Linked DNA regions of Elephas maximus indicus. The protein of the gene in region 4 interacts with the protein of the main gene of each other region in a pairwise test. Links are inferred from orthologs where the notes say so. Each region holds a gene or a part of one and is shown on either strand. Other genes may lie near its edges. The genes, in order: PLN, MAL, DOLK and EDA.

Region 1 (7,961 bases), on a different chromosome or scaffold from region 4:
ACAATTTAGGTAAAAGTTATTGGTTTTCATAGCATGAATAACAAAGCAGGATTTCTCTGATCAAGCATATCAGAACAAAGGGCTGGATATTTAGATGGTAGAATGAGGTAGATAGAAATGAAACTGAGGAAAACTGAGAATTTAATATGGACTGAAGGAAAGTACCCAAGTGTAGATTTTGTGAAAAGTTTTGAGGAGGAATTAACCTTTATTCCAGTTATCAAGGCAGCTAAATGAATCAAAGGCATGAGATTTTGGCAGTGAAACAAGTAAAATAAAAGAAAAATTTGTTTTGATTGATCGTGGCATGTGTTTTTGTTTTTTGAAGTGTGCAATTTTTTTGAGTTTTGCCTTCCAGGGTGTATTGTTTAATCAGGAGAGTATTATTTAGGCTATCAAGGGCGTAAGGCCTGATGCATAAATTAACTTGAAATGGTTTAAAATTAAAATAGAAGTTTGCATCCTCTGGATTTGCCTTTTAGATTGCCAGTTACAGTATTTGAAGTCCATTTTGCTTTGCCAGTGTCATGATTTATTTTTAACCCATGTTGATTGGTGTATAGGATGATCATGTGGTTTAGAGTCATAAAACCTAGGTTCCAACCAGTGCTTTCTTATTTCCTAGCTCTGTGACCTTGGCAGTTCACCTGTTTGCATTCGTTTCCTAAATTGTAAAATGGAGATGCTGTGTGTAGTATATATGGAGTTAGAGGATCAAACTGGGTATTTGTATACACAGTGCATTTAGAAAATTGTTCTTCAAAAATAAAGAAGGAAGTTTTAATGACCCTCATTTCCAGGATTGTTTTTAAAAAAAAAAAACCCACTAATTTAGAGAGGTACTCTAACCTTCACATTTGAAACCTTTAGTTTTTTCTTCTTTAATTTAGTGATTTATACAGATACTCTCCTCTTGTCACCAATTAATTAGTGAGATTAGGAAAGAATATGTATAAATATGTAATCAAATGAAGTTTACTTCTGGAATATTATTTTCCTTTGTGTCTGTTAAGATGTTATTAAAATATCTGAGAGTTTTTAGAAATAAGAGTGATGTGGCTCCTCTTACTAAAGCAAGTACTCTAGCTCTATCACAGAGTTTTAAAACAGAGTTTTTCACAGTTTAGACATCCTTCACATTTTTTCATTGTATTTCACCTAATACTTAAAAAAAATTTTAGCACTTAGGCTTAAACCACATGTCTTTATAAATAAAGGCAACACTTAAGTTTTACCTCGTAGTGACAGCAGTGAACTGTCGTGTTGTTGTTAGGTGCCATCAAGTCGGCTCCAACTCATAGCAACAAACTAGTTGGGGCCTAATGTCTGGCAGGAGGGCATACGTTTGAAATTTGAACAGTCACTGTAGTTACGGAAGTTCCGTTAACCCGGACACACTATTTAGCTAAGGGTAACTTTAGTAGAGCATTTCTGCTGTTTTTAGAAATTGTCTACTTTTTGGGCAGTATGTGATATGGTGAAGTTCTGGTACAATAAAGGAACTTGTGACCTCATTTGAAGTGTGAGAATGTAATTTTATATTTGAATAAAATGTATAAATATGCACATAAAACACATGCATTGAGTGACTTATGTAATATGAAAGGGAGAACATTCATAGAAGATATTAAGAAGCAACTGGGGTGCCTCAGTGGTAGAAAAAAATTAGAAATATTTTTGCATTCTTAAGGAAAGCTGCTTACAGAATTATGAAGTTCTTACTTGTAGTGAGCGGTAAAGTTAACACTTAGAGGAACTGAGAATTCTAGAGGTAAATTTTATTTTTGCATATGTATGAAAATAAAAATAATGAAATAAAAGCTATGTCATATTCTTTATGCTATGACTGGTAGAGATTTAAGAATGAGGAAACATTTCATATATATATTAAATTGAGGATTATAACACAGTAGAATTGAAATAGAAGTCATAATATTTATTGCAGCATCTCCATTCCTCTGCATTTTTTCTTTTCTTTAAATGCGGAAGAGGAAAACTGAGGAACACTGGCAAACACTTGACAAAACTATATCCATTGATAGGCAGAATAAACATACATTTCATCAGATTGGCTCAAATGAAATATTGAGGAACATTTTTGCTGCCAAAATGACTTTTTTATTTTGAAAGTATTGAATTTATTATTCTGTAATTCTGAAAAGATTTTTCTATGTGTTTTTGGCAGGTGTTATATTAAAGTTTCTAAACTTATTTTTTATAATATACTCTTGAATTTATAAGTAACTCAATTTATTAAAAGCTTGGGTTTTTAAATGTGTTAAAAGTTGCCTGAACTTTATAGAGAGGACAAAAAAATCTTCAAGAGCATTTTAAAAGTAGCTCGTATTACATACTCTAAAGTTCCATTGTATCCACTATATTTATTCACGGTAAGGAATCACAATGTCCTAGGGGAACAGGCACGCCGATGGGCAGTCACACGACTGCTCATAGTATTCCAGATGTAAATAGACAACCAGTCCTGCCCTGTTTCTCAGCAGAGTAACAAATAACAAAATAAAGCCATTGTTTTTACATGGAGAAATTAAACCACCACCACCACCAAATATGGAAACATAACGGGGAAGATTTTTACATTGGCAGAAGTTCACATTTGAAAAGCAAAATAAAAGTGGAAGTTAAAATAAGCTGACAAACCAATAACCCGGTTCAAAGATGAATATGACCCAAATTCCAAAGTTTAAGTCCTTTATGCTCATTCTTTCTGTCACTGAATGGATGTGAATTTTTTTAGAAATTAAACTTTTTGTTATACTAAACATGTTATTGTCTAATTTTGAACTAAAATTCACAAAATGTGATTAACTGCTTTTTCAAAGTTCAGTAAGTTTGAATTTAGAAAATGAAAATTACCAAAATCAGTGAACTCTACTTCTTACCTTGGCTGCCAGTATGGTACTCTGTATTCTAAGTTGTATGAAGTCTTACAGGTGGTCAGCTGGGAAGTTTTCTGACTCTGTTACCAGGTTTATGGGAACAATTGAAGTACATGGAGGAGAAAAAGTGTTCTAGGGAGGTCTTATGATGTCACACAGGAATTCTGAAGTTATGATTGGTTAGCTGTAGTTTTATCACAACCAAACTCTTCAGAACTTCATTTGTCTTACTTTAGGCATGGAAAGGTCATTAACACTTTGTGTTCTTCATTTTTTAATTTAACAAAGTATATGGCAGATAAATGAAAAAAAAAAGTTTTGGGTGGTGTTCAGAAAGCTCTCTTTAAGGTTTCATGTGTCTTCAGGCTTAGAGAGAGTTGTATACTGTAAAATGTCTGTTGATAATATTGAAGAGCTAAAATGGTCATAGTAATATGAATTTTAATAGAGTCAGAATAATAATACTGACTTGCCTCAAACAATTTTCATCAAGTTGTTGTTGCTACAGCTTTAAAAAAAAAATACTGCAGCTTTATACTGTTAGCTTTATAATGTTAGTAAGACAAAAATTAAACATTTTCACAGAATCACTTTTTTTTTGTCTTATTTTGTTGTTGCTGCTCAATACCTGTGTGTGTATGCGGGGAGGAAATGTGTTTAAGAAAACCAGGCTACTAACTGCTTTTGGTTTAAAAAATAAACTTTATCTTTTATTATAGATAAAGTAAGACTCATCAATGTGTTTAGCTTATTTATGTTTTCTTCAATTTGGGCTTTAAAATATGCAGTAAAACTTGCGGAAGCCAGAACCCATGTAAGGTGGAAACTCATTACAGAAGGAAAACGCAAGTATTTTCCACAAAATGGAGAGCACTAGAAAAGTGGTGACTGTACCTTGTCAAAGGCAGAAGACTTTCGAGACCCAGAATAACAAGGCAGTCCCTGCTAGTTCCAGCTCTCACAGGTTTCACTGTATTTCTAAACACTATATTTCCAAACACTGTATTTCACTGTTTCAAAACAAAACAAAATTTCATTACATGAAATTTAAACTGATATATATTATCCCCAGAAAAGGTACAATTTACAAATTTAAGTATTTAAGATTTTTTTTTACCAGCTGCATTAAGTTACCGTAGAAGCTTTCTGAATTTTTGAGTAAACTGACTCAGTATCAAGGGTGACGTTCTAGTAAAAAAATGAAATAATCAGATTCCTAATCATTGCATCCTAGTTAAAAAGGCTTTATTGACGTAGGTATGCATGTGTTGGAAATTTATGTTGTGTAGTATTTCTAAAAGGGTATGCTTCATTGAATACAGCAGTTATTTTCCTGAAAATTATCTCGATAAATTTTAATAAATGGAATGATACTTTGAACTTAGTAGAACAGTTTAGTTTATAGTAGATCTAGGGAAGGAAATTCTTAGGAAAAGCCAGGTGTCAGTTTTCTGTTAGTCTAATTTTTAGTTTTTATATTGGATTTACTTAAAGTATCACACCTGCAGTTCTAATTCTTAAATCTCTTATGTAATTTTGGAAGAGCTGTTTATTATGCAGTTAGCATTTATAGAGAAGAAAAATCAGTATTTAATTTTAAGGGCTATTTTAAAACAGCTCTGGAAAAATAGTGGCTCGAGCTGGGAATTTCTCTTTTGACTTTGTTTTCTTATTCATTTCATTATTCATTATTCATAAGTCGTAACTATAAAGATCTATGAAGAAAAGGTTCTTTAAAAAATATCTGTGCTTATAGAGGACTGAACTCAGCCTGCTTCACTTTCTTTATGGGTAACTAAAATGTGTAGCAGCAAGCTGCTTATGTGTCCTTAAATGGAGATGATTTTGACTTCTCCCAAAGAAAGATAAAATCCATCTCTGGAGCAAATCTCTATTTAAGAATCAGCCAAAACTAAGTGAAAAATAATATTTTAGCAAAGACCTTCTGTGAATACTAAGGGAAAAGTAAACATAAAATTAAAGAAATGGTATGAATAACGTTTGACACTGCTGTGCTCAGCACTCTATAAGCATTTTTTTCTTTCAGTCTTACATAATAAGGACTTCTTATTGCTATGAATTGTCAGTGATGACTGATAATATGAAACCTAGAAGCCTAAAATGGTGTGTAATAATATGTGAGAGACGACACAACTGCTGAGGAATAGACGAGGATTCAAATCCAGATCTGTACAGTTATAATTCCCTGATAGACTGGCATTTTGTTAAAAATAATTTACAGAATATCATGTATCAGCTAAGAAACATATAAGATGGAAATGGATGAATTATTGAAGATTTGTTGCTATTTTTAGAAAATCTGCTTTAAGTTTGTCCGGCAGTTACATATTTGTTTGAAAATGAAACTTAGGGGATAGATCATTGTAGCTTGAGCACTTCTAGGAAGATAGAATTAATAATACTTAGTTGAGTAAGAAACTTCCATAGGTGGGATAAAATATGTCCTAGATATCACACATTTTTGCAAATTTACTTAAAAACATTCAAAGGCATACATACATCTCAGAAGGATTCTAAGAACTATGTGTGTCTGACTTGGAAAATGGAGAAAAGAAACTTATTTTTCTGATTTGTATAAGAGTGAGTAACTTCAATGCTTACCCTTTTCCTTTGGTTTAGCTTATTATTATTATGATTATGTATTATAAGGCCAAACGGAACTCTCTATATGTATATTAGTATGGCTGCAGGAGAAAGATGTGACAGTCTGCTTCCGTAAAGATTACAGCCTTGGAAACCCTATGGGGCAGTTCTGCTTTGTCGGGTAGAGTAGCTTGGAGTCGGAATCTACTCAATGGCAACAGGTAATAAGTAGTATCGTATGTTTGTCACAACCAATGTTTGTATGTTACTATTAATTAAAGCCCATACTTTATTCAGATTTCTTCATTTTTCTCTCATCCTTTTTCTGTTCTAGGATCCCATCCAGGCTACACATGACATTTAGCAATCATATCTCCTTAGGCTCCACTTGACTGTGACAGTTTCTCAGTCTTTTCCTTGCTTTTCAAAACCTTGACAGTCTTGAGTACACCGATCATATATTTTGTAGAATGTCCCTCAATTGGGATTTATCTGATGTTTTTCTCACAGTTAGACTAGAGTAATGTGATTCTCCGGGAGACTAGAGAGGTAAAGTACCATCTCATCACATCACACCAAGGGTAGTCAGCAGCACATATCACTGTTGATGTCGACCCGGATCATCTGAATGAGGTGTAGTTTGTCAGGTTTCTCCACCGTGAAGTTACTCTCCTTGCCCTCTTCTATACTTCACTCTTTGGAAAAAAGTTATTACGTATAGACCATAATTACGATTCACTACCTAAAGGGTGGAGTATCTACATAATTATTTGCAATTGCTCTGTGTATATAAAAACATTCCGAGGAAAGATCCGTAGGCTTCAGCAGTCTGCCAAAGAGGTCTGTGGCACACACAACAAAATTAAGAATTCTAGTGTCAGAGGATGTTTCTGTAGTTTTATGGAACAGCCCTTTTTAGAGAGAGGCAGGCAGCTCAGGCTAAAATCCAAACCTCTTAGTTTGTATTTTCAGCCCTTTCCCTCTAGCTTCATCTCTTATCACATTTGTACCTTGTACTCTGGCCCTATATACAGCTGCTGGTGGCCCTTTTCAAGCAGTGCTATTTTAAGCCTCGGTATTTTTTTTTTTTTTTTTTTATTGTTTTGCAGGAATGCCTTTACCAACCTTTATTCCCATGGAAGTGCTGTTTCAATTTACCCATTCTGCGAAGCCCTCCCTTCCCCCTTCCCGTTATGCGGAACAATTTTGCATGTATCTCTGTTGTTAACTGTCACTTTTTATTTTGCTTATTAATGTGTCTGAGTAGACTAGATTACAGGCTCCCTGACAGGAGATCCAATGACTCTTATTTGCGCCCTTATTCTTTATAATACTACTACTTAGTGTAGAATCTTGCTCCTGGTAATGCTTAAGTACTGATTGCATGAATGAATAAAGAAAAAATGGGGGAAAGATTGACAGGTGATAAAGTTATGCTGCAGAAGTAAGTGTTAAGGACAGCTAAGAAATCCTTCGCAATTTTCAAGCTCAGCATGGGAATGAAGAGAAAGATGTGAATGACTGAGATGTTGGATAGGAGTAGAATAAAAATAAAAACCAAACTCGTTGCTGTCATGTTGATTCCAACTCATAGTGCCCCTGTAGGACAGATTAGAACTGCCCCCTTCGGCTTCCAGGGAGCAACTGGTAGATTCCAACTGCCAACCTTTTGATTAGCAGCAAAGCTCTTAACCACTGCGCCACCAGGGCTCCAAGAGTAGAATAACCAAGAAAATAGCTTTGTTTCGTATTATTTAAAAATGTAAATATGTTTGGAGGGTGAGAGTGAAGGAAGGTCATACCCTAAGCCCAATCTTCCTATATTGAGCCATTTTTTTTTAATTCAATTTTTTTCTTTCCTTGTTGGATTCATAATGATACATGGTTCTTTATGCACTCTTAACATTGGTCCATGCATGACCTGCTTTTTTGGTATAAGTTAGTTATTTTTAATAACGTAATAAACACTTGTGAAGTCACCACCTAAAACAAAAGGCAGTTGTTAGCAATAATTTATACCTAACCACACAGGACCTTGCCTAGTTCATCATCCCCTACCCAAGCAAATGATCATTCTGGATCCTGGGTTTATTTCATTCCCTTTGTTTTTATATAGTTTTATGGCATTGTAATTTCTTAAAAGTATTTATTTTTATTTTGCTTGTTTTCAACTTTATGTAAAGAATATCATGATTGCGTAATTTTTTTGCATTGAGTATTTAAACTCCTGTTAATAGTAATGTGATTGGGTGGGTGGCGGGTAGAAAAAAGAGAGGGAAGGTAGACCAGTTTTTCTGGAAACTTTTTGACAAAAAATTAACCGATGGCTAAATTAAAGCATTTTACTATTTACACATGTAACACAGTCAAATGTAAGCTTTGAATGAATTTTTGTGATACACACAAGACTTGAAAGATAGGGAGATTTTTTAGGTTAGGCTTCCCAGATCCCCAGGAGTA
Region 2 (7,749 bases), on a different chromosome or scaffold from region 4:
CTCCCGGCGCTGCTTTCTTGGTGGCATGAAGTCCTCCTGTCTCTCTGCTCACTTCTCTCTTATATTATCTCAAGAGAGATTGACTCAAAATACAACCTAATCCTGTAGTTTGAGTTTTGCCTCATTAATATAACTGCTTCTAATCCTGCCTCATTAACATCATAGAGGTAGGATTTACAACACATAAGACAATCACATCAGATGAGACAAAGGTGGGCAACCACACAATACTGGGCATCATGGCCTAGCCAAGGTAACACACATTTCAGTCCATAGCAGGTGGGACCCTGCTGTCCCTCCCCCGCAGATCGCCCTGCCTAGCTGGGCTATTCCTCCCCCAGCAGCACTCCTTCCCCTGAGCTGTGCTGCCAGGAGGCAGGCATCGCTGGGAAGCCTTCCTTCTTTGAGGCCAGACTCGGGACACCTGCCTGCAACCTGAGCCCAGCTCCTCCCAGGGCAAGAGGAGGGAGCACCAGAGTTTTCTGCAAAAGCACGAAGCCCCACTACCACATCTCTCCACAATTCTTGCTATCATGCTCCCCAAACAGCTACAAAGGCAGGGTAAGCTGCTGCTTAGGGCAACCTGAGAGACACCAGGAAGACCTTTTTTACTTAAAAATCTCTCTGCCCCGTTACATGATCTCTCTGGGTCACGAAACTGCCTTTTTAAATGCAGCGTGCTCTGAGGAAACAACCCTTTAGTCATGCCCAGACCGTGGACATCCAGCCATGGGCAAGCACAGGCTAAGAGCTGATAGAAATGAGCCACTAGGGAAAAGAATGTTCCAGTGGGTGCTACAGGGCTCAGGGATGTGGGCCAGCCGTGTGTGTGTGTGTGTGTGTGTGTGTGTGTGAGAGTGTGGAGGGGGGAGGGGTCCCTCCTTCTGCCCCAGTGCTTGTGTCAAACACACTCCATTAAAAAAACACCCGTTGCTGGTGAGTTAATTCTGACTCATAGTGACCCTATAGGACAGAGTAAAACTGTCCCCTAGGGTTTCCAAGGAGGGCCTGGTGGATTTGAACTGCCATCCTTTTGGTTAGCAGCCATAGCACTTAACCACTCTGCTGCCAGGGTTTCCCAAACACGCTCAGCTGGCCATATTCCAGGTTTTACCTGGCAGCCTTGAACATGGAAGGACCATGGCAGGGAGGCAGAGTGCCTGGCTGGAAAGCTGGCTGGCTTTAGGCCAGTCCTTGCCTACTCTGCACTGGGTGTCCCCATCTATAAATGGAGGGGCTAGGCGCAGTGGTTTCCTGGATTTCTTCTACATGTCATTTCCTTGACTCCAGCTATCTCCAGTGGTTAAGAGCTTGGCTGCAAACCAAAAGGTTGGCAGTAAATTCACCAGCCATTCCCTGGAAACCCTGTGTGGCAATTCTACTCTGTCCTAAAGGGCCACTATGAGTCCAAACCACCTGGACGGCAGTGGGTTTGGTTTTGCTGGTTTTAGCTTTCCCCAGGATCTGAAGTCACTCTAGACAGACCTAAGTTTGGGCTTAACTCTTGCCACGAGTTCGATGGCTACTGGAGAACCCTTTTCTCCTTCCCGAAATGCTCCACAGGTGAGGAAACCTGATGCACGCCAGCCCAGTCCTCTGCTCCCTTTAGCATTCACACCCTTTTGCCTATAAATCAGACAAGGAGCTGGGGTCCCGTTTTTAAACAACCAGGTTCTGACTTTTTCATTCCCAATCAAGTCTTCACATTGTCGCTTCTGTGGTTGGGGCACAGGGAAACGTGTCCCTGCGGCTGCAATGCACCACACCAGCATAATAACAAAGCCCCACCATACCTGGTAAGGGCTGGTGACTCCCAGGGAGCTAAGGCTGAAGAAGGCTGGTAGCCTTCGCACACAAGGAGCCCACAGTGGCCTTTCGCTTTAGTCACTGGTGGCAGCTCTACCGCTCTGTCGCAGTCGGGAAAACCATAGGTGCCAAGGCCTTCTGAGGGCTCAGGGTAAGCCAGGGCAAGGGGACCTTCTCTCACCAGCCTCCCCAACACCTCCCCTGCCCCCTACACACGGGGTAGAACCGCTGCAGAGCAATAAACAATAGCCTCTGTTTGATCGTTCCCAGATCAAAGTTGTCACAGATATGTTTACTAGCTAGAAGCTTTAGAAGAGCAGAAGAGAAAAACCCGGACTCAGCTCTTCCTCCGACACCCACCCAGTCTCCAAAGCTCGGTAAGTAATACTCAGGTTTCTTTTGCTGATTTTTAAAAAAACGAGACCATCTCCCGGAAAAACCTGAACGCCCCTGCTAGGACGCTGCTCTCCAACAAGGAGGAAACCCAGGCGAGGAAACGAACCTGCTCTGCGGGCCACCTGGAAAGCAGGTCCCAGCGCGCGGCTTTGGTAACCAGCGCGCAACAAATGAACCCTGACCCGTCGCCGTGTTTCGAATTCGGCTTTCCACTCAACTCCCGCAGACTGTTTCCTTCATTCTCGTGGGTCTAGAAGGTGGCCAAACAACTCAGGGAGCGGGCTGTCCGGATCTAGCCCCTTTAAACATCCCCTCATCCCGATGCCCCGGGGACCAGCGCAGCCTGCGCATCCAGCTCCGATAGATAGCCGGGTGTGTGGTGCCCAGAGGGAGCTGCCGGCGCTCCCCATTCCGCCCCTTTCCCGATCGGGGCGCGGGGCGCGCGAACCACTCACAAACTCTAAGATGAAGAGCAGGTCCGGGAAGGTGGTGAAGACCGCGAAGCCGCTGGGCAGGGAGCTGCCCCCCGACGCCGCTGCTGGGGCCATGTCGGCGTGCTGGCGTCGGCCGCTGGACAGGACGCGCGCCGCTCGGGCTCCGGCTCCGCGCTGACCGCTCGCTGGCTCTGCGGAGCCCAGTGGCCTGGGCGCCCCCGCGCGCGGGTTAAGAGCCCGGCAGCCGGGGGCAGAGGAGGGAGGAGCCCGGACACCGCCCGCCCCCTCCCCTACCTAGTTGGCAGGGGCGCCCCTGGGGATCCAGTCGGAGAGCCCGGGGCACCGCCCAGAAGCCCACAGAGCTCGCGCTGTGGGCGTTCGTAACTGGGCGAGGGACCTATCCACTTCCGTGTCCCACCTCCCGCGGGGGCAGGAAAAAAGCCTTTGTAGCGAGGTGCTTCGAAAGTTTTGCACGCTTCGTAGGTGATCACCACCCCTTAAGAATGAAAACCGCGAACAACCAAAACCAAACCCGTTGCGGGTCGAGTTGATTCCGGCTCATAGTGACCCTATAGGACAGAGTACAACTGACCCTTAGGATTTCCCTCTGAAACCTCCCTCCATGGCAACTCGCCAGCCCCGGCTCGCCATTGCTTTAACTGTTCTTAACCTGGGTCTCTTCATCTTTCCTCGGGGCGCTTTAAAATGCCTGACATCCAAGTTCAGGCTCACGGTGGACGGGTCCCCAGTCCTGCCCCAGGCTGCCGGCTGGGGGTCTTCAGGGACGCCGCTGAGACCCGCTCTGGCCACGGGCCTCTTCTCCCTGCATCTTCGGAGCCCGACCCTGGGAAGGATGCACCCAGAACCAGTCTGCTGGGTCCTGGGGCTGGGCGTCGGCCTGGCTGTCAGAGGCTCCTTTTTGCAGCTGCCAGGCCCGGAAGAAGGCTGGTGGTGGCGGTGGTGGGGCAGGGCTGGTTGGATCCAGGGCACAGAACGGCCATCACTGGAGGAATTTATTCCTTCTCAGAGGAGGTGGCCTCCCACCTCAGCCGGTGGCATGGTCTCTCCTCTCCATGTCCTTTGCCTGTTGTTTTTCCTGGATCAGAACTTCTTTATTCTTTTTTGCTTTTGTTTTTAAACAATTAGCACCCTCAATACTTCTTCCGAGTTTTCAAAGTCCTACAAACCCTGAAGCCTAAAATTTGCCCCCATGATCCGTCATGCATAGAGGAAAATGGCCCTTCAGCCCTCCACTCAGACCCCCCAGCACTTCTCTCCTGGCTTCACTCACAGCTGCTGCTAGCAGGACGGGGTGTTCCCCTGTCTCTCGAGTGGGGCCTTCACCCTTTCCCCTCTAAACATCTCTTTTTCCTCCCTGGTCTCTAAGGAAGAGTCTGTAAATTCTAGGGCAAGTTTTCCAAAGAAAAATTTCTTGCCCACGAGCTGACCACTATGATACTTACGGAGAGGAACCAGGCATTTGAAATGAGAAAATCTCCCCACACCTCTGTGAGCCTCCCTCGGCTGCTGACCTTGTGTGTCAGGACCTGTATCCTCCCCCAACCCCCGTCCCCCACCCCAAGATCCCCAGGGTACGAGCTTCTCTTGCCGAATGAGCTGTGATGGACACAATGGGCTGTGGGGTTGTCAGGGACCACCCCTCTCCCCGGCCCCCAGGGCTGCAAACCCACCAGGGCATCTTACAGTATGTTAGTTACCCCCAGCTGCCCCCTGGGAGGATATCTCCTTCTCCCCAAGGAGACATGGTGGGGACAAGCATCAAAGCAAGGCTGCCAGCGAAAGCTGCAGCCTGCAGTGGGTGAGGTAACCCTTGAGCCAATCCAGCCAAAGCTGCTTGGGGATTTCTTTACCAGAATATAAACCACACCCTTTGCCGACAAGTCAATTGCGACTCATAATGACCCGGTAGGACAAAGTAGAACAGCCCCATAGGGTTTCCAGTGCTGTAATCTTTATGGAAGCAGACTGCCATATCTTTCTCCCACGGAGTGGCTGGTGGGCTTGAACTGCCAACCTTTCAGTTAACAGCAGGGTGCCTCTACCAGTACATACTAATTAAAAATCAAAAAAGGTCCTTCATCTCATCTGTAGTCCTGTGCTTGATGTTCATCTTCCTGACCAGATTCTGCCTTGTGAAAGGCGTCCTCCTCCCCTCCCGTCTGTCCGTCTGCCCAGCACATCCTTGCCACCCAGCTGAGGATCCAGCCATGGTAGGTACTCAGCCAACATCTGCCCAAAGCCAGTGTGGACTGCAGCCTGGTCCTTACCTGACGAGAGGAGGAAGTAGGAGGACCCCGTTTGAAGGTAAAGAGTATTGGTCAGTGGAGGTGGGTCTGTCTTCATTTTACAACAGGTGCCCTGGGACAGTTGCTGATGGTTTAGGTTGTTCATATTTGTAACAAGACCGTACTTTGATTTCCAGGAGGACGTGAAAAAACAACCTGGGTGCGCAGGTGGAGCTCAGGACGTTGTTAGGGTGGTGAAACTCTCTATATGGCGCTGTAACTGTGGACACGGACAGGACGCATTTGTCAGAGCCCCCAGGACTGTACAACAAGGGAAGTGAACCCTGCGGTAAACTAAGGCCATTGGTTGATAACAGTGTTTCCATATTGGTTATCAATCATAAGGAACCCATGTCACCAGTGCAAGGTGCTAGTAATAGCAGGAACCGTGAGTGAGGGAGAAGGAGGATTTGGGAACTCTCTGAACTTTTTGTTCAATTTTTCTGTAAATCTAAAACTGCTTTTTTAAAAAAAGTCTCTTAATCTAAAGAAAAACAAAACAAAAAACCTTCAACCTCAGCCAATAATAACTTGTTGCAATGTCCTCAGTCTTCCTAGCAACACAGTGGGTGTGAATGTGGTGGTCAACCTAATAGACTAGGGCGGGTCCGGGGCTCCTGTTGAAAGAATAACATGTCCTGGGGCAGGCTGAGAACCCTAGGTGAGGTAGAAACTAGAAAGCATGATTGCTCTGTGAGTACAAGGTAGGAAGTGGCCCTCCAGCTTTTGTGTGCTATAGGGAGGGAGACTAGAGAGGAGAGAGCTGAGGGAAAGCCCCACAGCACAGCTGCTGAGTCCTGGAGCTCGAACTTGAACCTAAGTGCCATGTGTCTCTGCAGCTGCAAGCGCTGATTAAGATCACGCTCAAGGTGGGCAATCGTTAGCCAAATGCCATGCTCCGTACAGACCATCGACAGCCTCCCAAGTCCAGTCTTAATGCTCATGTCAGCCTCGTACAGTGTACATTTGCTCCCTAAGATGTCTCCGCCCAGCTGAGGGAGCTCCAGACCTTTCTTTTCCTGACCAGAAACACAAGGGAAGTTGGTGGTCATCGTCCCAGCTGATGGATGAGGATGCCAGGCCCTTACTCTCCCAAGGGGTTTTATTTGTTGAGCAGATGTGTTCTCCATAGCTGCTGCTTTCCACCCATGGCACGAGGCAGTGAAGACACCTGCTGGGTGGATGGATGAATGGCACTCCTGCCTGGGCTCAGGAGGATGGAGGGGAGCCAGCCTCAGAGTGCCTACTGAGTGCCCACAGGACCTCTTTTAACTCACAGAGACTTTTGGGTAGGCGTTTCCCACCACACAGGCTTCGAGTGGGGAGGTGACAGGCCCAGGCCAAGTGCAGGCATCTGCAGGGCCACAGTTTTGGCAATCGAGTCTCTTCGTTCCAAAAGTCATGCCCTGTCCCCACTGCCTCTGTGCCTATTGCATAAAACACTCAGCCTTGAAAACCACAAGTGGCGGTTGCTCGCAGGACTGAGCTGCGAGGGGACCCATGAGGTACCATGTGCCTGCTGCCCCCAGGGGCAACGAGCACAGCCTATCCTCTCGTCTTCCCCACCCCCATCTAGTTCATGTTTCCTAGGACCAGGGAGACCGGACGCTCTGCCACCACCTGGGAAAGTCGTCACTGAGCCCTGAGATCCTCAGTGTGCAACAGGGACTGGCATGGCCTGGGTATTGTGGGCGGAATCTGGGTGTAGGGACAGAGTCCCTGCTCTCTGGGAAGATTCCATCCAAAGGGGAAATCAAGTCCAGAGTCTATCCACACTTGGCCTTCTCTAAGCTGGGCCTGCACTAGGTGCTTCCCTGTCACTGTGGGCCAAAGGCTGAGGGGTGGAACATGGGCTGGTGTTTCTACAACAAGGCTGGATCAGGCTGGCTCCATTTTGGAGCACCTCTCGGGTGGCCAGCACTGAGCCCGCCCTGAAGATAAAACCATAAACTGAGTAGAGACCCTGCCCTCATTCCACTGCAAACCAAAACAAACCCGTTGCTGTGGACCAATTCCAACTCAAGCAACCCTATAGAACAAAGCAGAACTGCTCCATAGGGTTTCCAAGGAGCAGTGGATTTGAACTGCTGAACTTTTGGTTAGCAGCTGAGCCCTTAACTATGGCGCCACCAGGCTCCCTCATTCCCCCAATCAGTTCAAATTCTGTAAGTGCCGGGCAGTGGGGTGCCATGGGAGCAGCCTGTGTGAGCCTCTGTGGTGGAGGTGAGGCTGTTGCACCTGCAGGCATCCTGGGTGGGTCTTTCAAGACCTTTGCCAAGGCCAGTGTGAGTTCTCTTCTGTGATGCTATGGGGGGAGGGAGCAGAGTCCCACATGTGCCAAGGTGCCTTTAACCCTTGGAACACTTGGCCAGTGCCAAGCACTTGGAACAGAGCCAAAGGAAACGGGTACAGGACCATCCCAGAGTCTCTGACTTAGTCTAGGGTTCCCAGAAGCCAGTAACAGCCTGAGATCAGAAAACAGATAAAACATCAACCAAGCAGAATACAAAATCAGGAGGAGGGCGTGCCTTGTGCAGAAGAGTGGAACGTTCTTATGGAGAATGGTCAGAACATGCCAATTCACATCTCGGTCCTCCGTGCTTAGCACGGTGCCTGGTCCATGGAGGAGGGATGCGTGCTTGTAGAAGGGCAGGAGAGAGGAAAGGAGGGAAAAAACGAGCCAGGTTCTGGAAAGCCAAGGAGCCAGCAGACTGCACACCGGTGACACTATGTGTATCTTTGGGTTCATTGATTGCTGTCACAAAAAACAGGCCCGTCCTTCCAGCTGTGGGGCTGAAGGAAAAGGA
Region 3 (6,652 bases), on a different chromosome or scaffold from region 4:
GGGCACAGGAATCTACATCTTATAACAAGTATGCCAAATGAGTTCCTAAATCACCACTGCTCCAGGGCATCAATTAGCCTCAGAGAAGCAGACAAAAGACTTAGTCTATTGGCTCTCTCTGCCTTTTATCTGTTTGATATATTAGTTTTGGGGTTTATTTTGAGAAAAAGATTCTGCTACTAAATGAGACTAGAAACCACTCCCCTGGAATGAGGCAGTAACTTTTACATTTAATACTCGAAAAAAAAAGAAATTCTCATTGGTAAATCCATGTCATGTGATGGTCTTTATACGGTGTCAAAAAATAATGCTGTCGAAAACTTGAATTTTTGATAATAAGAAAAGTAAGTATCACGCAATTATGTCAGTTGTTGCTGTTAGCTGCTGTTGAGTTGGCCCCCAATTCATGGTGGCCACACATACAACAGAACAAAACGCTGCCTGGTCCTGCACCATCCCCATGATTAGTTGTATTTCTGACTGTTGTTTTCCACAGGGTTCTCAGTGGCTGATTTTCAGAAGTAGGTAACCAGACCTTTCTTCCTAGTCCATCTTAGTCTAGAAGCTCTGTTGAAACCTGTTCAGCATCATAGCAACATGCAAGCCTCCACCGACAGAGGGTAGTGGTTGTATAAGAGGTGTGTTGGCAAGGAATGGAACCCAGGTCTCTCGCGTGGATGGCAAGAATTCTACCAGTGAACCAACAGTATCTCATAATATGTCAGGCACACTGTCTTACTGAATACTGACAGCTTGTTTATGAGGCAAATACTGTTGTTATTCCCATTAGCTAATCTGGAAACTAAGGTTTAAAAGTGGTTAAGTAACTTGCCTATCACACAGCTAATATACTACAATGGAGCCAGGGCTTGAACCAGGTGCTCTGCATGACTCCAGAGCTCAACTACTACATTTCACTGCCTCAGGATGCACCCAAGAATTCATGCTGCCAGCAAGCAAAGATGTCAACTGAGGTGTTCTACAATAGCGGACCATACCCTTAACGTAGTAGCTGGCACAGATATTTGAAAGAATAAACATCAAAGAAAGGGAATGATATGGGTCCCTTTTAGGCTTGCAATCTAACTGGAACAGAAAAATCAAGAAAAACAATATATGCAGAAGTACCAACAGAAGGGAGAATAAAGGAGAAAATGGTAGAGTTATCAGGAACAAAATCTATGGAAGTAAGTCTAACTGGTTTCCTCAATACCTACATACTCACTGGCCTAGGAATAATGGGGATACAAATAAATCTAAGACCTTTATGATGCTAAGCTTAAGGGATGAGAACGGCAAAGGATATTAAATACACATTACACAATCGGCAAAAAGGAAGAAAGTACTAAACGGCATGATACTAACAACTAATACAAAGAAACTTAACCACATAGAACAGAAAAGTCAGAAGAGAGAGGGATTGCTGGGGACTGATTCAGTGATTGACAAAAGGCTTCATCTCAAATTGGGACCTAAAGGCTTGACTGAAACTTAGAACTGTGAAGCCCACCCAAGACTCGGGGAAATAGCTTCTATATATATTTCCAAGAAACTATGTGCTAATGTCTCTCATTTACATGCATAATACTCCTTTCAGCGAAGTATGTGGGGGAGACACTAAGGCACAGATTAAATAATTTGCCTCAAATTCAAAGGTAAAGTTTTAAAAACTTCACTATTTCCAGTCCAGTGTTCCAGCAAACATGGAACGTCATTCCTACAAGAGCTGAAGTTAATGGAGCCTGAAAATTATCTTCTTTAGTCATCCATCTCATTGGAAAGCTATGAGTGAAGGCTACTGGGAGTTAGAAATAACTGTTTCTACAATTCAGTCCTTTGGATAGAAAGCTGGGACACAGCCAAGCTACCTTGATGAGATATTTAATAAATAAAAGCTACCACTGCCCGTGGACGCTCTAACTTCACAGAGGAAGTATACCTCTCTTGTGTGAACTGAGATTTAAGCTCAGCAGCAAAAGCTTTCCAAATTGCAGTTCTATTTTTGTTTAGCACACCTACACCATTCAGACTAATTCAAACACTTTAACTGAAGAACGCAGGAGTTACAAGAAAAGTGCCAATATTCAAACTTTCTGCCAATTCCTGAGTGACCTTTCCAAAAGATTGATTTAAGGGTAGTATTCCTTTTTTTTTTTTTTTTTTAAACTAATGCCAGCTTGTATTAACATTCACAATGACTTTTCCTACAAAAAAAAAAAAAAGCCTCACAGCCACTTCAATACTACTCTGGAAATGATCTGCATTTGGAGAGACAGGTTCAAAATGGTGAGGTCGCTTGTCTGCAGTCATCTGCAAATCTGAGGCATCAGGAAGAGAATTAAGTTTTCTCTTAGTCCAGACCTACAGGCATTTCAGACAGAGGACTGCTGCTCAGTATAATTCCATCTGCTACTGAATGTGACTTTTGGCACACACACACAAAAAAATCACTCTCCTGATACAAGCCATGAGCAAAGCAGTGCCTAAGAACTCTAATGCCCTTTCTTCCTCCTTAGGATGAGTTTGGTAGGTTCCCCAGCATGAACAAGTCATCTTTCAGGCAAACCAATGCTTTCCTAATGTTCCTTTTCATTAAGGAACATGCTTTATTCTACAGGAGCCATAACGACTATGAAACAACCCTAAGAAAAGGAGGGCACAGTGGCTACAATGCTGTCCTGATACAATGGTTGGCATGAAACGACAGAGGAGAAAAAAGCAAACTGGTCCTCACAAGGTACAGAGGTAGTCCAGGGAAAATTCCAGAGGAGAAAAATCTCACTTTCAGCTGGGAAATTAAAGTGATGCCAGAGAAAACGGACAATATTTGTAATAAATACTAATGGCTTTTTTTTTTTTTAATTACATGCTATTCCTGGGTACGGAGGATACAGTGGGGAATACGACAAAAAAGTGGGGAAAACATTGTTGGCACTGGGAATATAAGCGCCATAACTACTTTGACTAGGGAAGGTGGGAGGGAGTAGAATGGACGAAACCTCTTCAAGGTGGAATGTGGAAGACAGGGGTGTGAAGGTTTCATTACAGTTCTGGAGTCGAACAGACTCGGATTTGAATCCTCCCTCACTTTACCCCTTAGCTAGCAGAGCGGGACTTCTGACTCATCTGTAAAGGGTACCTCACAAGAGCTGTGAGAATTCAAAAGGATCTCACCAGTGTCTGGCAAGAGCAAACCCTCTATATTGAAAACTGTATTATTCTTTTTAGCGTTTCGTCTTCTTGCTCCCAAAGCCTAGAACAGTGCCTGAAATCTCTTGGGAGATTTGAACACATCGGCTGACCGAATCAATGAGTAAAATAATGAATAGATGGGTGGATGAAAGGCTGAGCGGAGAATGAGGACAAAAACTACAAGGAGGTGGCTCTGTGCAACAAGAGAGCACATGAGGAGAACCTGAGAGGCAGGGAAGGCCCGGGACAGGTCACCGGGGGGCTGCGGCGGGGACGTGGGGGGAGGGGGAGGGAAGGAGAGGGTCCTCCAGGCGACCGCAAAGCGCCCGTTGCGCCTCGAGGTAGCGTCACAGCCAGACGAGGAAGCGCTAGTGGGGCTCCAAAGGACACACGGACGGGAAGAGGGGAAGAAGAGAAAAGGACTTGGGTGAGGAGACGGGAAGCCCAGAACTGAGGGATAAGGTGAGGAACCGGCCCTCCGCTTGGAGAAGTCCCTTCAGCTCCCCGCGCGCGGGGACCGTTTGCACGTAACCGCTTCCCGTCTCGGCGCCGTCTACCCAGCCGGGCTTCGCACCGCCACCGCCGCCACATCCCGCTCCCAATTCCCGCCCCGCTTCTGCTTAGTTTCGAGCCCGCGCCTCACAGCCAACCCCGACAACTTGGCCCGCTCCGCACCTCACACACGGCTCGCCGGCGGCCGCCGCCATCTTCCCGCGCGCGCGCCCCAGCCCCGCCCCCAGACGCGGCGCCCACGTGACCGCTCGCCTGGTACCTGACGCGTGGGGCGGAGCTTCCGTCACGTGAGTCCGGTACGGGGCGGGGCCAAGATGGCGATACCCGGGGAAGCGGAGAACCAGCGGCCAGGGTGTCCGCGGTCGTGAGGAAGGCGGCCGAGAGACGGTGTCTACTCCGTAAATTGGAGGCGGTGGAGAGTGACGGGACTCCAGCTTTCAGGCCGCAGAGAGTGACCTGCAGTGGAGTTCTGTCCTTACAACTGGAAAACGGAGGGAGAAGGTTACTGGCTGGGTGAAACCGTTGTCCTTTGCTTGGCGGTGCTGAGGGACCAAGAGTCCAAGGCGTCCCTAGTCACCCCGGCTTTCCGGGGGCCTCAAGCCTGGAGACATGACCCGAGATAGCGCTCCTCCGACCCCGGGGGCGGGAGCTCCGCTGAGCGGTTCGGTCCTGGCAGAGGCGGCAGTGGTGTTCGCCATGGTGCTGAGCATTCACGTAACCGTGTGGGACCGATACTCGTGGTGCGCTGTGGCCCTCGCAGTGCAGGCCTTCTACGTCCAATACAAGTGGGACCGGCTGCTCCAGCAAGGAGGCGCCGTCTTCCAGTTCCGAATGTCTGCCAACAGTGGACTACTGCCTGCCTCCATGGTCATGCCTTTGCTCGGACTGGTCATGAAGGAACGCTGCCAGGCTGCAGGGAACCCACACTTTGAACGTTTTGGTATCGTCGTAGCAGCCACTGGCATGGCAGTGGCCCTCTTCTCGTCAGTGTTGGCGCTGGGCATCACTCGCCCCGTGCCCACCAACACTTGCGTCATCTCGGGCTTGGCTGGAGGTGGCATCATTTACATCATGAAGCACTCGCTTAGTGTGGGTGAGGTGATTGAGGTCCTAGAGGTCCTGCTAATCTTCGTGTACCTCAACATGATCCTGCTGTACCTGCTGCCCCGCTGCTTCACCCCTGGAGAGGCAGTGCTGGTATTAGGTGGCATCAGCTTTGTGCTCAACCAGCTTATCAAGCGCTCTCTGACAGTGGTGGAAAACCAGGGGGACCCAGTGGACTTCTTCTTGTTGGTAGTGGTGGTAGGGATGGTGCTCATGGGTATCCTCTTCAGCACCCTCTTTGCCTTCATGGACTCAGGCACCTGGGCCTCCTCCATCTTCTTCCACCTCATGACCTGCGTGCTGGGCCTTGGTGTGGTCCTGCCCTGGCTGCATCGACTCATCCGCAGGAATCCCTTGCTCTGGCTCCTTCATTTCCTCTTCCAAACAGATACCCGCATCTACCTCCTAGCCTATTGGTCTCTGCTGGCCACCTTGGCCTGCCTGGTAGTGCTGTACCAGAATGCAAAGCGGTCATCTTCTGAATCCAAGAAGCACCAGGCCCCCACCATCGCCCGGAAGTATTTCCACTTCATTGTGGTAGCCACCTACATCCCAGGTATCATCTTTGACCGGCCACTGCTCTATGTGGCCGCCACTGTATGCCTGGCAGTCTTCATCTTCTTGGAGTATGTGCGCTACTTCCGCATCAAGCCCCTGGGCCACACTCTGCGGAACCTCCTGTCCCTCTTCCTGGATGAACGAGACAGTGGACCACTCATCCTGACCCACATCTACCTGCTCCTGGGCGTGTCTCTTCCCATTTGGCTGGTCCCCAGACCCTGTACACAGAAGGGTAGCTTCGGGGGAGCAAGGGCCCTAGTCCCTTACGCTGGCGTCCTGGCTGTGGGTGTAGGCGATACTGTGGCCTCTGTCTTTGGCAGCGCCATGGGAGAGATCCACTGGCCTGGAACTAAAAAGACTTTCGAGGGGACCATGACGTCTATATTTGCCCAGATCATTTCTGTAGCTCTGATCTTAATCTTTGACAGTGAAGTGGACCTAAACTACAATTATGCTTGGATTTTGGGGTCCATCAGTACTGTGTCCCTCCTAGAAGCGTACACCACACAGATAGACAATCTCCTTTTGCCTCTCTACCTCCTGATATTGCTGATGGCCTAGTTGTTGTGCAGCAGTAGTGATGGAGGAGACAGGAACATGGGGAGTGTGAATGGCCCCCACAGCAGCCAGCCACTTGGGTATGAAGAGCCAAGGGGTGAAAAGAAGATTGGACTTTTGGGTGGTTCAAATTTAAAATAAAAATCAAAGCTTTCTTGGTTTTAGTTTTGCTAATGTTAAAAAAAAAAAAAAAACAAAGAATAGTGCAGCAGCTCAAAGAATTCGAGTGTGCTGCAGACCCCCTCCCTCCACACACACACACCTAGCAGTCCTCAGAAGGGGCAGGAGTGGACACTGGAGGGAGGAAGTAGAGCATAGGGGTTAATGCTTCAGGTTCTGGTGTCAGACTAATCTGGTTAGAATCCTTGGTTGTGGCACTTAACTGTGTGGACTCAGTTCTCCTGTCTGCAAGATGAGAATTAACAGCGCATATCTCATGGGGGTGTTGTGAGGATCCAGTGAGATGAGATATGTAAAGTGTCCAGTCCAGGGCACGATGAGCAATCAGTGCGGGAAAGTGTCATTATAACCTGAGACCAGGTTCATCGTAGCAAAAAAGCCATGCGAGCCAAGGGGGCTTTATCAGTTGTACTTGGAGACCCGAGCGATCTTTACTTTTACTTCCCTGTTTCATTTGGGGTAGGAAGAACTGAAGGGGGGAGGTAGGGTCAGCTTGTTGTGTGTATGAAGAAGAGGATCAGGTCCTGCACTGATATTTTGTTTC
Region 4 (7,488 bases):
GAAAGTGAAGGAAGAATAAGAAATACATGGTTAAATTTAGTCTGGTCAAAACGTAGGTAGAGTAGAAGAAAATGGTGCAGATCTGAGCCCTCTACTTTGTAAAAAATCTACTATGTACCTCCACTCCCCCTTCGAAAAGAGTCCCCAGGAGATAGTATGCCATAGGGGGATGAACACTGAACTGCAAGTCAGGAGATCAACTTCCATACTAGTTGTCGCCCTGGTTGGGTGACCTTGACCAAGTCACTCCTCACCCAGGGCCTAACATGTCCTCCTAGAGGATCAAATAAAATTGATTCATATGGCCCCACGTAACTCTAAAAAAACATCGACTCCAGTTGATGTCAATAAATATAAACAGCCAGTGTGCTTGCTTCTACTGCTCAAAAACATTAAAACAGAAAGAATAAAGGACAGAAGATAGGAATCAGTGTTTAAACCTGACAGAGCAATTTAAAATGCCATGCAAAAAGCAGGCAAGAAACTCCATTACACACCTGTGATAGTCCCATGTCATTACAAAAGCCCTAGAGTACAGCTGTTCTGTTAACCTCAGTCCTTAAAGATGTGTCTCTCCATTCTGAATGCCAAAAAATGTTTGGCCACATTTGACTAAAGAAGCTGAATTCCCTCATCTTTCCACAGAATTTCATTGTTCAGCTGCTAAATATTTCTGCTGGGCATTGGTAGGGGGGATGGGTAGATAAAGGAGCCAAAATCCTAGTTAATTATCATTTAGTCACACTGTTTAAAGTTTCAAGTATGAGAAGCATGTTTGCTGATTCCCTTCTTTGATAAGCTGTTATATAAGTTGGAGTGTGCAAGCAAGACATTTCAAGGCTCAGGGCAACTTTTCAATGTGCAATGTAAAAAATGTGTCAGTCTTAACATTACAGTATTATAAATATGATGCCTCTATAGAGTCGTTCAAAGGCAATGGGATGGGCTATAGAGTACAACTTTGGCTAGGTGGTCAAATTAGCACAAATAATGTTTACAGAGTTATGACAATTACTTTGAATGTGGCAGTAAATATAGAAGGCCTGCCTCCCCAACCTCAAGGAACTTATTTGCACAACTTGCCCTCTTCCTCAAGAGGTACAAATTCGCTATTCTTTAACCACCTCAAAAAGATCCTTGGATGCTTTCCCTATTAAGACAAAACATAGACATTGAGACAATACTTTAATTATACTAAGTTTACTTGAATAAAGAGCTAGAGAAAGTAAAAAAAAAAAAACAAACACCAAAGTTTGCTAATCAGGGCACAAACACCATAAAGATAGAATATAAATAAACTGCTCTTGAGAGGCTGTAGTTGTGTGCCATGGAGTTGATTCCGACTCACAGCGACCCTACTCCTGAGAAATTATCCCATCAATAAATTCCTGTTCTCAAGCTAGAAATAGTGACGACACTTCACACCCACCTCCCCCATTTCACCCCCCAAAAAAAGCTAGAAATAGCATGCAAAGGGTGAGTTTTATTTCCATAGATTTTCTTAAATTGCTCTTCAAAAGTAGTTTAACAAGACCGCATGTTTCTACCAGGATTCCTCAGGGGCGCTAATCCTCACTAGAGCACTGAGGACAAACCAAAAAAAGAAAACCCATTGCCGTCGAGTTGATTCAGACTCATCGCGACCCTATAGGGCAGAATAGAACAGCAAGGAGCACCTGGTGGATTCGAACTGCCGACCTCCTAGTTAGCAGCTGTGGCACTTAACCACTACGCCACCAGGCTTTCAGTCTCAAGTTGCAGGTAAGTGTGAACAAGCCCACGACTGGTCAGCGCACAATGACCCCGCGCTGAAAATACAGTTAACTGTTGTTTCAACGGGCGTGGAGCGTTTATTACAGCTGTTTATACCTCCAACTCCAAAGGAGAGTCTACTAGTGCTGCCACCAGCCCTGGACACGAAAAAACAAGCACCGTGGGCAGAGAACCTCACCAAGACCAGGGGGCCAAGCTGCTCGCGCTTAACCCTTCAGAGGGGCAGCGCGGGCACCTCCTTTCCGCGGCCCGGGCCAGAGCGTTGCCAACTTTCCCTGAGGTAGCCCGTAGCCGGGGGCGGCAGAGGCAGGCACCGGACGGAGTTGCCAATTCAAGGGATTCATAGAGTCTGGGTGAGCTGGGCCGGGGACCTAGAACAACCTGCCCTGGGGCAACCCCTCCCCTCATTGGCCTGCCCCCTTCCTGGTCCTGCCCTCTAACTTGGCTCGAGGTGGCAGAGTCCTCCCAGGGCCCTGTGGTGGAGGGCCCCCGCCCTATCCACAAGGGAAGGGGGCCTCTGCTGCCGCCGCCCCTCCTAGGTGACTCACCTGGTGCCCGTCCTGGGAGTCGAGAGGGAGTGTGGTTTCTCCGGGTTCCAGCGGCTGCTGCTGAGGAGACGACTGCCCGAGGTGGCGGATGATGGGACCGTCAGGGTTGAGGCCACTGGGGCTGGTCAGAGTGCCAGAGGTGCCAGGGGTGCTGGGGCCGCCAAGGCGGGTCTCGGTTCCCCGTTCCCGCCGCAACTCGGAGCGCAATTCTAGGTAGCAGCACAACGTCAGCAGGTGGAGGGCCAGAGAAAAACCAAAGAAACCCAGGAAGAGCCGGCAGCTGCTGTTCCCTTCGCCGGCCCGGGCAGGGGCCCCGCGACAGCCGCAGCCCTGGCTTCCCCGCTGGCGCGGCAGTTCCCTGCGCTCTACCTCTGGGTAGCCCATGGCCTCCGGAGACACACACTCTCTGAGGCCCAGGAGCCGTCGCGTCTGCCTCAACCGTTCAGGACCCCTGACAGGCGGCTACTGTCCTGCCATCGGCTGGGGGCTCCAGGGACCCGTTCCTGTGCGTCGGTGGCTGGGCGGGACACAGCAAGGAGCAGCCGCATGTGCAGCTCCACTCCTAAGGGTGGGAAAGAGAGGAGGAGGGGCGGGAGAGAGGGGCGGCTCTGCCCGCCGAAGGAGTGAAGGAGGAGGCCCTGACCGACCCCGCCCCATCCCTCAAGGGGCTGCTGGTACGCCCAACCACCCGTCCCGCCAAGTCTGGGTGCTCCGCCCCCTGTCGTTCCACCGGCGCCTCAAACCGCGGGGCGGGGCCTGGAGGCGTGTGGGTTAGCCTCTGTCTGGCAGCCCCACCCAGCTCTTCCCGCTTTCCCGGTACGGGTAGGTTACTGCCGCTGTCGTTCATCCCTGGACTCCACCCCTATTTAACCCTTTAGCGCCAGTACGGGGGAGAAGGAAGGAGGGGAAGGCTGAGAAGAATTTGGGAACCTTGGGGGAAAAAGAGGAGAGCAAAGAAAAGAAGGCAGAAACGAGGATTAACAGAAATGCTTGCAATTAACTTTAGTTTTTAATAACATCATTCAGCACTTATCTGTTACTTTCGAACTTCAAAGCGTTTAACAGAGGTTAAACTAATTAAAACAGTTCTGGGTTTGGAATGAAACCATGTCTGCTGTGTTTGTAATCCACTGGCGTGCCAGAAGAAAAGAAGAGTCGGGAGCCTGGGAGCCAAAGGGAGTGGGAATGGGGTGTGACTCAGGCAGCCTCCCTCCTGGACTGAGTCTGGGGGCTCAATCTAAGTGAGGAAGAAGGTGACCTGTGCCAGGCAGGACTGAAGTGATGTTGCCCCCTGAAGGTCAAACCAGTCCCCTAAGATTTCTTATATGTTAATTCAGCAAACATGTATAAAATCCCTTTACTTCGTAAAAAGTGCTATATAAGAGAATTCACAACCAGAATAGTTTCTCTTCTTCAGTTGCAGCAGGAGTTTTCAGTGGAGAACACGTGACTTCAATGAGCAAATTGGGAAACTGAGAGCCAGAATGAGGTTGATTTTTACAAGGGTGGTCCACAGAATGGCCAGACAGTACTGGCATCTCTGTTTGCAGGCAACTGTTCTGGCCCCTCCACCCCTCCTCTCCTTCCCCTGGAGCAGTCCCTAGGGGAAGTTCAACAAGTCAGCCAAATGTTCCAGATGTACTCTGCTGCAACTGCAGCATCTTTAACAGCTGCACCAATCGGAAAAGGATTCAAGGCAACAACAAAAAAAGTGGGCAGATGTCAGAACAATAGATCCTGATATGAAGATTGTAAAGGATTAGTTAAATCAAAAGTCATAATTAACAACAGTTAGTTGGAGATTATAGAGAGCTAAATGACCGTGGTGGAAAAGAAAGTTTTGTTTTTTTTTTTTTAATGACCGTAGAAAGGAAATATTCATGCTTCTTGGTCACCTTGCAATCCCATTCCCATGTTATTAATTGAGAAGCAAGTAATTCTCAGTTTCAGTGATATGACAAAGCCATCACGAATGCCACCAAGGAGGCTCAACAATGCCCAGGAGTGTGGATGGGAAGACCTATAACCTAGACTGGTGGGAGGGAGAGAAAAATAGCGGTAAAATAGAAGAGAGACAAAAGGAAAACAACAAAACTAAACCAAAATCATCTGGTGGGAGGTCAGTCCAGAAAGCACAGAGACCATAGGTCTTAAATATTTCAGCCACAGCCAACTTTTCTTCCACACACTTTGTGAATGGTTTCCGTGCTTCAACAACATCTTTGTGTCCTCTCATTAACCTTAACCCATGAAATATAAAGTTTTCAAAGAATATCATCATTACACCAAAAAAAAAAAAACCCACTGCTGCAGAGTCAATTCCAACTCATAGTAACCCTATGGGACGGAGTAGAACTGCCCCATAGGATTTCCAAGGAGCAGCTAGTGGATTCAAACTACCAACCTCTTGGTTAGCAGCCATAGCTCTTAACCACTACACCACCAGGGTTTCATTATACAGACAGGAAAAAAAACAAAAAAACATTTAACAGCTGCTCTCAAGTCCTGCTTGTCCAGTCCAGGAACTCCAGCTGCTGGGGAAATTGCCAGGCTGATTTACCTTAATTATCACAGCCCAGGATTATTCAAAATAATGCTAGACTAGGAGTCAGGAGATCTGGCATAGCCACTAATTTGCAAGTCACTGTGCTTTTGGGGGCCTTAGTTTCTCCAATTGTAAAATGAGGATTTTGAACAGCTATAACATTGTCTTTTATTTGTGTTGTAACTGACTATATTGACTTGGTTGCGTACACAGTTCAAAGAGGCTGTCCCTGTTTCCCCTAAAATGAAAAGGGGACAAATGAAGCCATCTCTGGTGGTGGTGGTCATGCTCAGGGGCCATACTGGTCTCAGTTTACCATGTTCTATCAGGTTTTTAACAGCTTAACTGAGACCCTGAGTTGCACCATCCTCCTCAGAAGCCCTGGGGGTTGTATTTGACCTTGTGCCTCACTTTGCTCAACTCAACAGCCCCCAGAGGAAGAACATATGTTTTTATATGCAGTAGAATTGTTGGTCTGGGGCAATCCAGTGAGGAATGTACATGGTCATTTTTTTAAGTGTTTCCACAGTTAGTGTCTATGCTTCCATAAGTACCCCATTACCTACACCACAGGTCTTAAAATGACAGCCCGCAGGCTACATCCAGCAAATTGTTGTGTTGTGTTTGATGCAGCGTTGGCTAAAAGTTTGAATTAAAAAAAATTAGAAATCAGGACATTTCACATTAAAAAAAAAATCCAGATTTCCTGTTTCTGTTTAAAGAAACAAATAAATAAGCCCAGAGTGTCCACATTCCCTTATGGCTGCATTCAGCTAGAACTGACCCCTTGATACAAACACAGGCTATCAAATTCCACAGTCACCCGCCCCACCCCCATCTCCTTCCTCTTCTCTCTAATATTGTCCTTGTCACTCACTTATTTTGTCTGACCCCTGTAATACAGGAGACAAGATCTCAACTCCTTAGCGTGACCTACAAGGTACTCATAATCTGGTCTCAAACTGCCTCTCCAACCTCATCTTCCACCATCCTACAGGGAACACATGCTCCCACGATACTAAATTAGTTGACTGCTTTGTCACAGTTGTGCCTTTTCACAAGCTTTTTTCTTTGTCAGGAATATCACCACCTTGGAAACCTTATAAATTCTTCAAGAATCAACTCATATGTTCCCTCTGGGCTCCACAGCCCACTCCAAACAGATTGTACCTTGAGCATAGCTCAATGATATCACCTACTATATTGTATTTTTAATTTTTCACATGGCTCTCTCCCTACTAAATCCTGAGCTGTTCCTTGATGGTAAGAACGGTGTTCTTTTTATTTGGGTATCACTAGTATCTAGCAGAGCACCTATGACGTAGCAGGCACCAGTATTGTTTATCAAATGAATAGGGCATGAAGTCTGCTATGGTAACCTAGACTACCTAGAATTCCAAAAAGGGAACTGGGCTAAAGGATACCTGTCAGTATCACTTAAGAAGCACCTGTTGTATACAAACTGTATAGCACTATGCAAAAGAAATAAAACTAATGCTACCATAGTGGTTGTGAATAATCCAGAAAAGTAAGTAATCCAGAAATTCAAATATAATTGGTTTATAGTAACTCATTGGCCTTTCTGCCCCATCAAGTTTTCCTTTCTAATTTGGGCTTAATATTAAAATAAGTCAGCTAAACTGAAGACCCTGAATACCCATCAATTGAGTGGAATATGTTAGGGAGTTGGGCAGAAACTGCTTTGAAATACAGTACCTCTTAGCTCTGGTTAATCTGCAGAACAAATAATTGACATAGAGATCACAGAGTTGACTCTCTGATCCACTTAATGTTAAACAGATAGTTGGAAGGAATATAAACTTTGGATTAGATCCTGGTTTGAATCTTAGCTTATTCACTTACCAGCTGTGTGACCTAGGACAAGTGAGTTTTACCTGTCTTGCAGAGAGCCTCAGTTTTCTCATCTGGAAAATGGAGATGACAATATTATTTTTTTTTAATCTAGCTATGATTAAATGAGATGCTATAAGTGAAAGTGTCTGGCACATAATAAATGCATAGTAAATGTTAGTCCCTGCTGTCCAGGAGCCTTTCGTCAAAAGGAGATGAGAGGAAAAACATACAAATACTCAAGAACATGGCAGAAACACAGAAAAGCATCTACCTACTTTGCCCTTGCCAAAAACTGCCCCATTTTTTGCATCCTTAGAGTTTGGGATAAGGCCTATATGTTCCCACCACCTTCCCCTGAACTCTTAACCCATATATCTATCTTCCTCCTTTCAATTTCCACTTCCATCAGATAGATATACTTTGTCCTTCCCTACCCTGTAGAAGGAGCCCTGGTGACACAATGGTTAAGCGCTGGGCTGCTAACTGAAAGGTTGGTGATTTGAATCTGCCAGCTGCTCCATGGGAGAAAGATGTGGCATTCTGCAGTCTGCTTCCGTAAAGATTACAGCCTAAGAAACCCTATGGGGAAATTCTCCTCTGTCACATAGGGTTGCTATAAATCGGTATCAATTCAATCGCACACAACATCAAGCCTGTAGTCAGAGGCATTCTGTCAAAATGTAAGTCAGATCCTGTAGCTCATCTGCTCCAGATCCTCCAATAACTCTCCATCTCACTCCAAGTCCTTTCCTTGGCCTCCCCTACCAG

The links.
Region 1: the proteins of EDA (region 4) and PLN interact in binary tests that used the Homo sapiens proteins (3 or more experiments, as listed by UniProt). The link is inferred for Elephas maximus indicus from reciprocal best matches to the Homo sapiens genes EDA and PLN.
Region 2: the proteins of EDA (region 4) and MAL interact in binary tests that used the Homo sapiens proteins (3 or more experiments, as listed by UniProt). The two-hybrid records come from large-scale screens. The link is inferred for Elephas maximus indicus from reciprocal best matches to the Homo sapiens genes EDA and MAL.
Region 3: the proteins of EDA (region 4) and DOLK interact in binary tests that used the Homo sapiens proteins (3 or more experiments, as listed by UniProt). The two-hybrid records come from large-scale screens. The link is inferred for Elephas maximus indicus from reciprocal best matches to the Homo sapiens genes EDA and DOLK.

The regions. Positions count from the first base shown.
Region 1 is NC_064819.1:185,739,822-185,747,782, reverse strand, and holds the start of PLN (cardiac phospholamban), read right to left. Parts: upstream 3,012-7,961; 5' UTR 2,901-3,011; intron 1-2,900. UniProt on the Homo sapiens protein: Reversibly inhibits the activity of ATP2A2/SERCA2 in cardiac sarcoplasmic reticulum by decreasing the apparent affinity of the ATPase for Ca(2+).
Region 2 is NC_064835.1:89,430,115-89,437,863, forward strand, and holds the start of MAL (myelin and lymphocyte protein), read right to left. Parts: upstream 3,016-7,749; 5' UTR 2,751-3,015; coding exon 2,658-2,750; intron 1-2,657. UniProt on the Homo sapiens protein: May be involved in vesicular trafficking from the Golgi apparatus to the cell membrane. Plays a role in the maintenance of the myelin sheath, and in axon-glia and glia-glia interactions.
Region 3 is NC_064827.1:79,930,351-79,937,002, reverse strand, and holds DOLK (dolichol kinase), read left to right. Parts: upstream 1-3,983; 5' UTR 3,984-4,314; coding exon 4,315-5,931; 3' UTR 5,932-6,151; downstream 6,152-6,652. Other genes in the region: nucleoporin NUP188, read right to left, coding at 3,868-3,899. UniProt on the Homo sapiens protein: Catalyzes CTP-mediated phosphorylation of dolichol, the terminal step in de novo dolichyl monophosphate (Dol-P) biosynthesis. Dol-P is a lipid carrier essential for the synthesis of N-linked and O-linked oligosaccharides and for GPI anchors.
Region 4 is NC_064846.1:100,697,158-100,704,645, forward strand, and holds the start of EDA (ectodysplasin-A), read right to left. Parts: upstream 3,010-7,488; 5' UTR 2,706-3,009; coding exon 2,322-2,705; intron 1-2,321. UniProt on the Homo sapiens protein: Cytokine which is involved in epithelial-mesenchymal signaling during morphogenesis of ectodermal organs. Functions as a ligand activating the DEATH-domain containing receptors EDAR and EDA2R. May also play a role in cell adhesion.